Daphnia pulex: one gene and its partner. The protein of the gene in region 2 interacts with the protein of the main gene of each other region in a pairwise test. Links are inferred from orthologs where the notes say so. Each region holds a gene or a part of one and is shown on either strand. Other genes may lie near its edges.

Region 1 (4,464 bases), on a different chromosome or scaffold from region 2:
AATGGAGTTTTTCCTCAATCCCACTACCAAGGATTTCTTTATCCAATGCTTTCAAATGGCCAAACAGCAAAGAAAAGGGGTTGGCTTTGCTCTGCTCTGATGGTTTTCTTGCTACGTAAACGCGCCTTAAAATAAGTTGTGACTGTTTATTTCCCTGTTCAGTAAAAAAAAATTGTCAATTTCAAAATTCTGAATAGATTCAACCTTATCTGTTGGTTAATGCAGGCTATTTATATATTCTACTTGGTATCGATTTTTTTAATACTGTTAATTACTTGTTTCGGCTAGTGCCTCCAGGATTATTATTAACATGTTGTATGAATCATTCCTGTGATGATAGCTCACGCGAGTTAAATACATCGGTTACGTAAAATTGAAAGTAGTTGAATGTTTTTAATCATGAAGTAAAAAATTTAGATTGAGAAAACTTTGAATTGAAACTGACATTTGAAACTGTATTATTTTCAATACCAAACAAGGAATGACGAACAATTTCATCGTTCAGCAATAGATGATGAACAAGCCTCTTCAATCAATCTTGCAACCTCCTTTGTTTTCAATTCTGATTGCTGAATAAGTTTTTTCACCTGTTTCTCATCTAAAGTACATCCTCCTGTAAAGTCAAGGGAAGGTTATGTCCAAATTTAAGAACATCATAGAAATTTTTTTACCTGGCTTATACATATGTGTAACTGAAGTACCCTCCATGGTAATAGATGTTAATCCAGCAGCCAACTGCTCCTCTTCAAATGTAGGATCACTGATCAAAATACCACTGTTCAAAATAATGAGAAATCATGATTTCATAGAAGTTTCTTCATGTTTTTTTTTTAAGCACATACTTATCAAATAAGGAGAATGTTGATGTAACTGGCTGCTTAATTGTGTCAAAACTCATTTTTTCATTTGGGTTGGAAACTAGTTTGTCCATCTCCTCATCATAACTCACAATGGGAAGTTTCACTGTAATGAATCAGTGAATGAATTAGATTATAGAAAATAAAACATAAAACTTTAGAATAGAATTACAATTTTTCAGTGCAGCTACTAATGCCATCACACAAGCATCTAGTAAACTCCCATCAAGGTTAATGCAGAGTAGATCACAATGAAGAACCCAAGCCCATTTTGAAACCTTTATGCACAATGTTTCCAAGTCCATAATAATATTGTTATTGACTAATTCAGCTATAAACTGGGTAGCAGCTTGAGCTGTTTCTCCAGGAGGGCCAGATTTTATTTGTGAAGAACATAAGGATGGCAGTGTCACATTTGGGATGATGAAGCCTTTAGAAGGCTCCTCTCTTTCTGGAGCAGCTAGTTCCTGGATTTGATAGATTATTGTTGATAATAGTTTTTGAAAAAAATAGTTATGAGTGTTTTACAGCTTTGATGCCACAAATGACAGTAGTATTTCCACATTTGACAATAGCTGAGCCATCAGCTGTTCCTATGGAACCAGCATTTAGAGTCATTTTTCTGAATTCCAGCAGTTTCCGACCGTCTGGGCGTGACTTGCGATCAAGGAAAGTCTTGTAAAATTCCAATGGTTGCAGTGTTCTGAATTAAGAGGTTGATATCAAAGTGCCCGCAAAAAAACTTCATAAAACATGACTTACTTGTGGTCAGTTGCCATGTTTAAATTTGTATTGGAAATAGAATCAACGCATACAGTGACGTGATGCGTAATCGGAAACACTAAATTGTAATTAAACAGAACATATATTAGTTTTGGAGTACTGAGTTTACACTGACGTAAGTGAAATAATTCATTACCAAATTGTAGTGATGTTTCGTTAGTGCTTTTTCTAAACGTTAGCGTTATCCGTTAAGTTAACGATGTCCAATTTTTTCACGTTCGTTAACGCCGTTAATTAACGCCGTTAAAAATGTCTCCGTTAACGAAAATTCGACGTTATTTTTACCGTTATTTAATAAAAAAATTGCACTATCAAATCACTGAAATCAGTCACGGTCTTGATTACTTATATTTAAATTGCTGCTGGCGTTGAACAATGTCACAATGAAGCAATGATCAACTAAAAAAAACAGAAACTGCGGATTAAATAAACGCACAGACAAAAGAAAAAAAAACAAGTTCCAACTAAAAAAGTAAAGGCCTCAATAAATCCTTATTGCAAGTGAGGAAGACTTTTGCGGCCAAAACTTCTTCCGCCGTCCTATTTTTGTGTCCTAGACAGTGCCATCCGGCAATGGAAAATTCGCGTTCAGATGATGCCGAAGAAACTGGTATAACCAGTAAATTATAGGCCATTTTGGATAATTAGGGGAAACGACCAGACAAATCCTTCCAGTAAGAGATCACATCTTGAACTGGTGGATCCTTAGAAGGATCAAATTCATGACTTGCAAAGTGGAAGTTGTCTAAAAGTTCAGTTTCAATGCAGTCGAGGGAAGTGGCTAGAAGGTAGGAGCAGTCGAAATCAGGATCTCTTTAATCTGTCATGAAATTAAATCTTCTTTCGAGATCTTCTAACATCGCAGATGCCACGCTTATTCACCGTCAACAGGAGCATCAGAGTCTGAATCTGACATTAAAGATTTACACTCTGATTCTAGTTGTTTCCCTACTCTACTTATACAGTTTCGTTTGCCACGTTTTGAAAGCAAAAAAAAACCTCAGAGAAGCTAAGAAGACTACTGCTCACTGTCATTGGCTATTTAAATTCGTTTTCATAGTCAACCTACTACAGTAAAATGTTGGAAGCGCGCAAAAAATACAAATTTCATTTTGAAAAATCCAAAAATTTCATATTTGGCAGCGCTGTTAAAAACAAAAATAACGTCTGAAAATAACGTCTGAAAAATGCCAAACGTTAGCGTTATCCGTTAAGTTAACGAACCCCAAAAAAGGTCCGTTAACGGACTTTTCACGTTATCCGTTATCGTTAACGAAACATCACTACCAAATTGAATTTCAAAGGTTCAAACAATAATAGTAGGTAGCAGACGACGTAAAATCTAAAAGCATGGCCAAGCAACGTTGTCAGAAATTAAAAAGTGTGTGTTGCTTACTTGCTTAGTTGCTTCCTGTTTGCTGCTGTTTCCTGTTTGCGAGATTAAATAAAACCGATTGGCAGAAAATCAGCAGATAACACTTGAAGGATATTTTTCCTAAATATATAGAAAAAAACGTTCGACTCTCGAAATACCGGTCACCTTTAGAATTTAATGAACTTTTTTGGCATCAATATGGTAATGGGGTTGTAGACAGAAATAGTTCTGTCTGACGGCAAAAAATCGGTAAATTCTGTGGGAACAAGATAACTTGATATCGTAAAACCCAAAAGGTAAAAAAGTTTGGAAAATACCGAAAATCAGTACAACAACGGTTCATATCGCACAATTAGTAGGTTGCCTTTCAAATCCAAAAACCTCATTTATGTACCTCATTTAGTAAACTGTTAACTAGCTCAAGTCAGGAGTTATTTTACTTATTTATTTTTTTACAAAACAATTTGTGCATAAAGAATGCTTGAGTGAAAATGGTGTCAGGGAAAAATGTCGTGAAATAAAAAACAATTTGTGGACTAATGTCTACAGATGCCATCAGTAACATTAGATGTTATGATTTTTCAATCGTGCGTACCGTTTTAGTACCTTAGGAAAGGTGACATTCCACAGTTCAAAGTGAACTGTATCCACTTGGCCTGTTCATTCTTAAAATAAATCCAAGGGATGGAATCTCTCGCAATCCCGCGACAGTACACGCGTGTAGTGCTATTGTTCAGAATATGAGGCGCGTACCGCAACAGCCTTAAAATAAAATTTCCCGTCGCATACGCCGGCCGATTAATATATACTCTTAGCGAATTAATATGGAGTAGAAATTGAAATTTTTCGGTGGAGGGTTTCGAAATGTAATTTTAAACGTCCTCGGGTGGAATAGGCGAGGTCTGCTGTGTTCAGTCATATCGAACCCCAAGGACATTCTTTGTCTGTTATTCAGGAAAGTCCTCATGGTCGTTCTTGAGAAAACCCTTTATTGATGACGGGGACGTTAGCTCTTTTTAAGTTTGCATGTAACAACACCTTCGCCGTCCGAGGAAAAAAAATTCATAAAAGAGAAAATCAGCACATAGCTACCGAACCAAAGACGTCTTTACTTTATAGAAAGTGAGTTAGTAGAAGCTGCCAAGGTCGAGTTAAAAACGCAAAAGCTTTCGTCGATTGCTTTAGTCATGGTTGAGCTTTATTTCGACCCATAAATGATCAAGCTCAAACTCGATTTGATTTGATTTATTTACACCTTTCTTATCATCATCATTTTGGACAGCCAAAGATTTGATTAAAACAGGTTTTGTCAACTACCCAAGTCCTCCACTAGGTGGACAACCAATCGATTCATTTTTTTCTTTCAGGTGGCTCTCTCTCTCTTTGATACACACACACCCGTTTTTGTGAGAGTTACACAAGGGGCAGTTACTGGCTCTCCCACTAGTC
Region 2 (4,486 bases):
TCTTCCTCGACCCCGACCGCGTCCATCACCATCTTCACGCAGTGCGCTCCTTTTAAAAGCGTGATAATCAACCTGGGAATAATCAAATGGTTCGAAATTAGCCCCGCTGTCATTTCCTGCTTCTTTGCTCGCCGGTCGTTTTAATGATTTTTTCTTCATTCCTGGATTGGGGCTCTTGGATGTTGCTGGATTAGGGCTCTTGGATGCTGACGGCACTACTGCATCCGCCGACTTTTTCGATGGGGAGCTGGAGTTTGATGGAATTACAGATGTTTCAGGAGTAGCCGTTACTCGTTTAGTACTCCCTACTTTCTTCTTCTTCTTGTTAAGTCCCTGCGCTTTCAACGCCAACTTCTTTTTCTTCGCAGGAACTACTGCTACTGCTTCCGCCTCTTCTTCCATCGCTTCCGCTTCACGCTGGGCATCGGGTGTTGAATGCGCCACTTCTTCCATGAAATGTTGGCGCAACTTTTCGACACGTTGTGCTTCTGCGGCTTCTTCGGCCGACTTTAGAGCTCTGACACGAATATATCTCGTGTATGGAGAAACAAAATTAGTTGATACATTTGTCACGATGCCAGAATGAGCCGATTCGGCGAAGATTAGAGCTTGTGGGAACTCTTTTACAGTGACGCGGACTCCAAACTCCTCGGATCTTGACGCCATTGATTCGATCGTTTGCGGATTCAGCAGAGTGGGTAGGTCGTCTCGGATGTCCTGAGAATGTGTCAAGTCGTGCATACAATAAAGGGGGTCTTCGGTGTCTTGATCCAATGGAGTCGGCATCATTTTCGGGATGGCTAATGGCTGGCCGTGATGTTGTAGAGTGGCGAGAGGCATTTCTCTGGCTTTTAATATGATTCCATGGAGATGAAGTAAATGCTGACGAACGAGCGAAGGGATAGGTGAACAACAGGCAAGGATACCTTGCATCTCCTTAGGTAGAACATCGGCGATTTGTAACAACATGTGTTTGGGTAGAACAAAACCAGTGCTCTCGTCTTCTTCTCGAGCTATTCGATCGCGCCAAGCAAACAGTTCTTTTAATGCAAACAGCTGACGTTCGTTGAAAATCTTCTTGCTGAGCCTATACAATTCCAAGTGACTTTCGGCAGTGATAGGGGGAATTCTGTAACGTTTGAGACAAACCAGTCGGCTGTTTTGCCAAACTGCTGTCAGCAAATTATCTCCTGTTCCCTTCATCTTCAAATCCTTTTTCATCTTTTCGTAAATGTATCCTAGGTAGTGGGTATCTTCTCGAGCATAATTGACCATTTGCTCAGGCAAGGGACGAATTCGCCAATCGGCTAGCTGGTATTGTTTGTCAGCAATAACTTGGCAATAATGACGAAGGAGGAAGGACAAGGACAGCTGTGCAAAACCCAATAATTTGGCAGCGTGATAAGTGTCAAAAAGATTAACGACGTAGATACCGAAATCGCGCTGAAGCCACTGAATATCCATATCAGCTCCATGAAAAATCTAAACGAAAACCAACAAAATAAGTTTGTTACTTCTTCAATTAAACAGTTAGCTCATACCTTAACAATCTTTGGGTTGCAGAAAACTTCATTTAAAGGCTGTAGTTGATCCCATAGCTCTAAAGTGTCTATAATGTAGTCAGAACTGCTTGTTGAAATTTGCATTAAGCATGTTAGGCCTTGAAAGGATCTATATGAATGGGCCTGGCAATAAATAATTAAGGAACTTAATAAGGTTCACCAATTTAAAAACTGCTAGACAGTGAATAATACCTCCAGATCTACAGCAATCACAGTTTCCTCAAGCAAAACTTTCAAAAGACTTTTTAAACCTTCTTCAGTATCTATCATTACCAAAGGGATTTCTTGAACACTTGGGAATGGAGGCACTTCATCAAGTACGGTGAAGAACTTTGGATCCGGTGTAAAACGTTCCAATTCAAATTCGTACGGATGGCTAAACTCTTCATCGCCCAAGTCATTCAATTCTAATAGTATCGCCAGTGGTTTCAACGAATGAGGCTTATCTTTGATTTTGGGGATAAACGGTCCAGGTGAATTCTTGATTTTCTCTTTGAATTTCAACTGTGGTCTCAGAATGTTTTTAGCAGAAAGAAGTTTGTAAGAGGTTGCTGGTGAACTCTGTAAACAAGATGAATACTTTATAGATTCAGCATCTAAGACAACAATTGGTATGAAAAACTAGATACCACAGAATGCCGATTCCAACTGCCATTAATATTTGTAGTTTTTGCCATCATCTCAACAACTACAGTTTCTGCTTGTTTTTTTAATCCAGCAGCTTCATCTAGAGAAAGATTCTGAAACGAAAGCAGTTTTTTTTAACAGGTGTAAAATTCTAATAATTCCTAGTAGCATACTATTCGCTCCATCAAGATGTCATTGTTGTCCGACACCAGCTCCATCTGCTCTTCCAAATCCAATTTTCCCACCTTTCCTGTTAGTCCATAGTGTCCGTAAATTGTGGTCATCCTTGACAAATAAAAATTTTAGGATCAAACAAAATTCTTATACTTAACGGTAGCTGTAACTCACAAGTTAGTAATGCGACCACCAAATTCTTTCATTGCGCTGGCATATGCTGGATAACTTTGGTAGTAATCCCAGTCTGAACCACTACTTGGTAATTCATTAGAGTACTTTGTGACCTTCATTGCACTTTGAAATAATTTCTAAATAAACAGAGAAAATCAAGTTGTGACTGATATGAAATTTCAAAATGTTTGGCCAGCCAATGCTCTACCTGTTGAACCTCTTGGGCATTTCCATTCTTCTCACTTTCTTTTTCACTCATTTTAAAAATATTCTCTGATCATCAATTGCAACAAAATCTTATTGCGATTATTCACAGAAAACATTAAGCACGTGAATCGCCTTGTTTCAGTCTCGCCGTTGACCAAAGAATCATGCTTTCAGAATCCACTTGTCGTCTGCTACATTATGCATGTAATACACCGTTAGTTAAACAGTTGATTTATTTATTATTAAACTTAAAAAGGATCTATATTACTTAATTAATTGAATATCTATGAACAAGTAAAATATTTAGTAAATTTAGAATATTTTTCAACCCACGACTAAATATTTTTTATTCATTTGAAAATGCTATTGCGCTTTAAAATTCTGCCAAGGGCGTTATAAAAGTTCCCCGAAAATAACAAATCAACAAGTGCCTTGACCATCATTCTTTTCCATAAAATAATAACAATTTTAATCCCGCCGTAAAAATGTTTGCACTAGTTGTTTATTAACTTGGACTTTCGTTATTGAGTACTTATAAAGGTTCACTGTGTCATCCAAACTTGTCGTTTTTGCGAAGGTAACTAATATATGACAGACGCTTGAAACGATCGAAAGATTTTCTTATATTGCTTTCTTTTTCAGCACATAACAATGCACGCTGTTGTCGTTGTGACTGGAGGGATTTTGACTTCCGTATTCATTGCTGCTCTCCTTGCGCTATTGTTTATATGCAGATATAAACTATGTTGCTTTAATCTTGGTTCTAAATTTAAGAAGAAGGAACAAAGCCCACAAGTGCAGCAGAATGGATTCCATGTGAGGTAACTATCTCAAAAACGAACAAAGACTTCTTTCGCAGTTGGGAGTAATTTTGCTTTTGAATTTCCCAGTAGGTCTGATATTCATCTAATCAGTAGCCTAGAGATGGAAGATGAAGACTACATCATGGACAATATTGATCCTGAAGATTTAGTGATTCACCCTGACTTGGACAAAGTTCTAGAATCTCACAGATGGAAATGGGTGGACGATGCCCTTGGAATTGTTCCTCATTGCCTTCAGATTTTAAAAGGCTGTCACTTGATGAGTGAAAGGCTTGTGACTACAGCTATGGCTTCTACAGATCAACAGAGATTTGTTGAATTGGCAATGGTACAACTCTCATTATCTAAAAGAAAAATAATTGCATGCATTTCTGTTATGTTGGAATTCAGTTGTGACACTCCAAAGATTACTATGTGTCTGAAAGTTCTGTTGTGTTTTAGGTTGCAAAATCTGTCCTTCCATTAGTTGACGACGTCTTGCGTTCCATGTGCCCACCCATTCAACCACGCGATGTCGAAATCCGAGCCTTTGCCCTCTTGAATGCTGTCAACCGCTTGAGCAAACTCACCGAGCGAACATGCAATGTGTCGTGGCCATCAGCTATTTTCGAAGAGATGAATATGCATTACCAGGTAACGTGCATCTTTTAAATGCTACACGACTTGTTTGCTTGGAAACGCGAACTGGCTCTGAATGTTCTCGATACTATCTGCTTAACTTTTCATTAATTTGTACTGCAGAAACTCAAAGCCATCGCCCGGCGCTCTGAAACTCAATTATGGAACGAACGAAATCTTTACAGGGAAGGTGTGACCATAGTCGAATCATCCATGACTTGAAACACGAATAATCTCGAAAACCTTCGTAATCTCCGTCCAAAATATCACAACGTATCTTAACAAAATTAGCCTCACTAA

Evidence for each region.
Region 1: the proteins of exosome component 10-like (region 2) and exosome complex component RRP43-like interact in binary tests that used the Homo sapiens proteins (3 or more experiments, as listed by UniProt). The link is inferred for Daphnia pulex from reciprocal best matches to the Homo sapiens genes EXOSC10 and EXOSC8.

The regions. Positions count from the first base shown.
Region 1 is NC_060025.1:4,770,174-4,774,637, reverse strand, and holds exosome complex component RRP43-like, read right to left. Parts: upstream 3,064-4,464; 5' UTR 2,928-3,063; intron 1,778-2,927; exon of another isoform or gene 1,699-1,777; 5' UTR 1,637-1,698; coding exon 1,620-1,636; intron 1,561-1,619; coding exon 1,386-1,560; intron 1,325-1,385; coding exon 1,030-1,324; intron 964-1,029; coding exon 843-963; intron 776-842; coding exon 672-775; intron 614-671; coding exon 495-613; 3' UTR 435-494; downstream 1-434. Other genes in the region: vacuolar protein sorting-associated protein 13B-like, read left to right, coding at 1-100. UniProt on the Homo sapiens protein: Non-catalytic component of the RNA exosome complex which has 3'->5' exoribonuclease activity and participates in a multitude of cellular RNA processing and degradation events.
Region 2 is NC_060022.1:1,682,209-1,686,694, forward strand, and holds the start of exosome component 10-like, read right to left. Parts: upstream 2,980-4,486; 5' UTR 2,797-2,979; coding exon 2,746-2,796; intron 2,675-2,745; coding exon 2,538-2,674; intron 2,475-2,537; coding exon 2,363-2,474; intron 2,303-2,362; coding exon 2,192-2,302; intron 2,124-2,191; coding exon 1,755-2,123; intron 1,686-1,754; coding exon 1,542-1,685; intron 1,483-1,541; coding exon 1-1,482. Other genes in the region: transmembrane protein 98-like, read left to right, coding at 3,396-3,565, 3,635-3,896, 4,010-4,201, 4,310-4,408. UniProt on the Homo sapiens protein: Catalytic component of the RNA exosome complex which has 3'->5' exoribonuclease activity and participates in a multitude of cellular RNA processing and degradation events.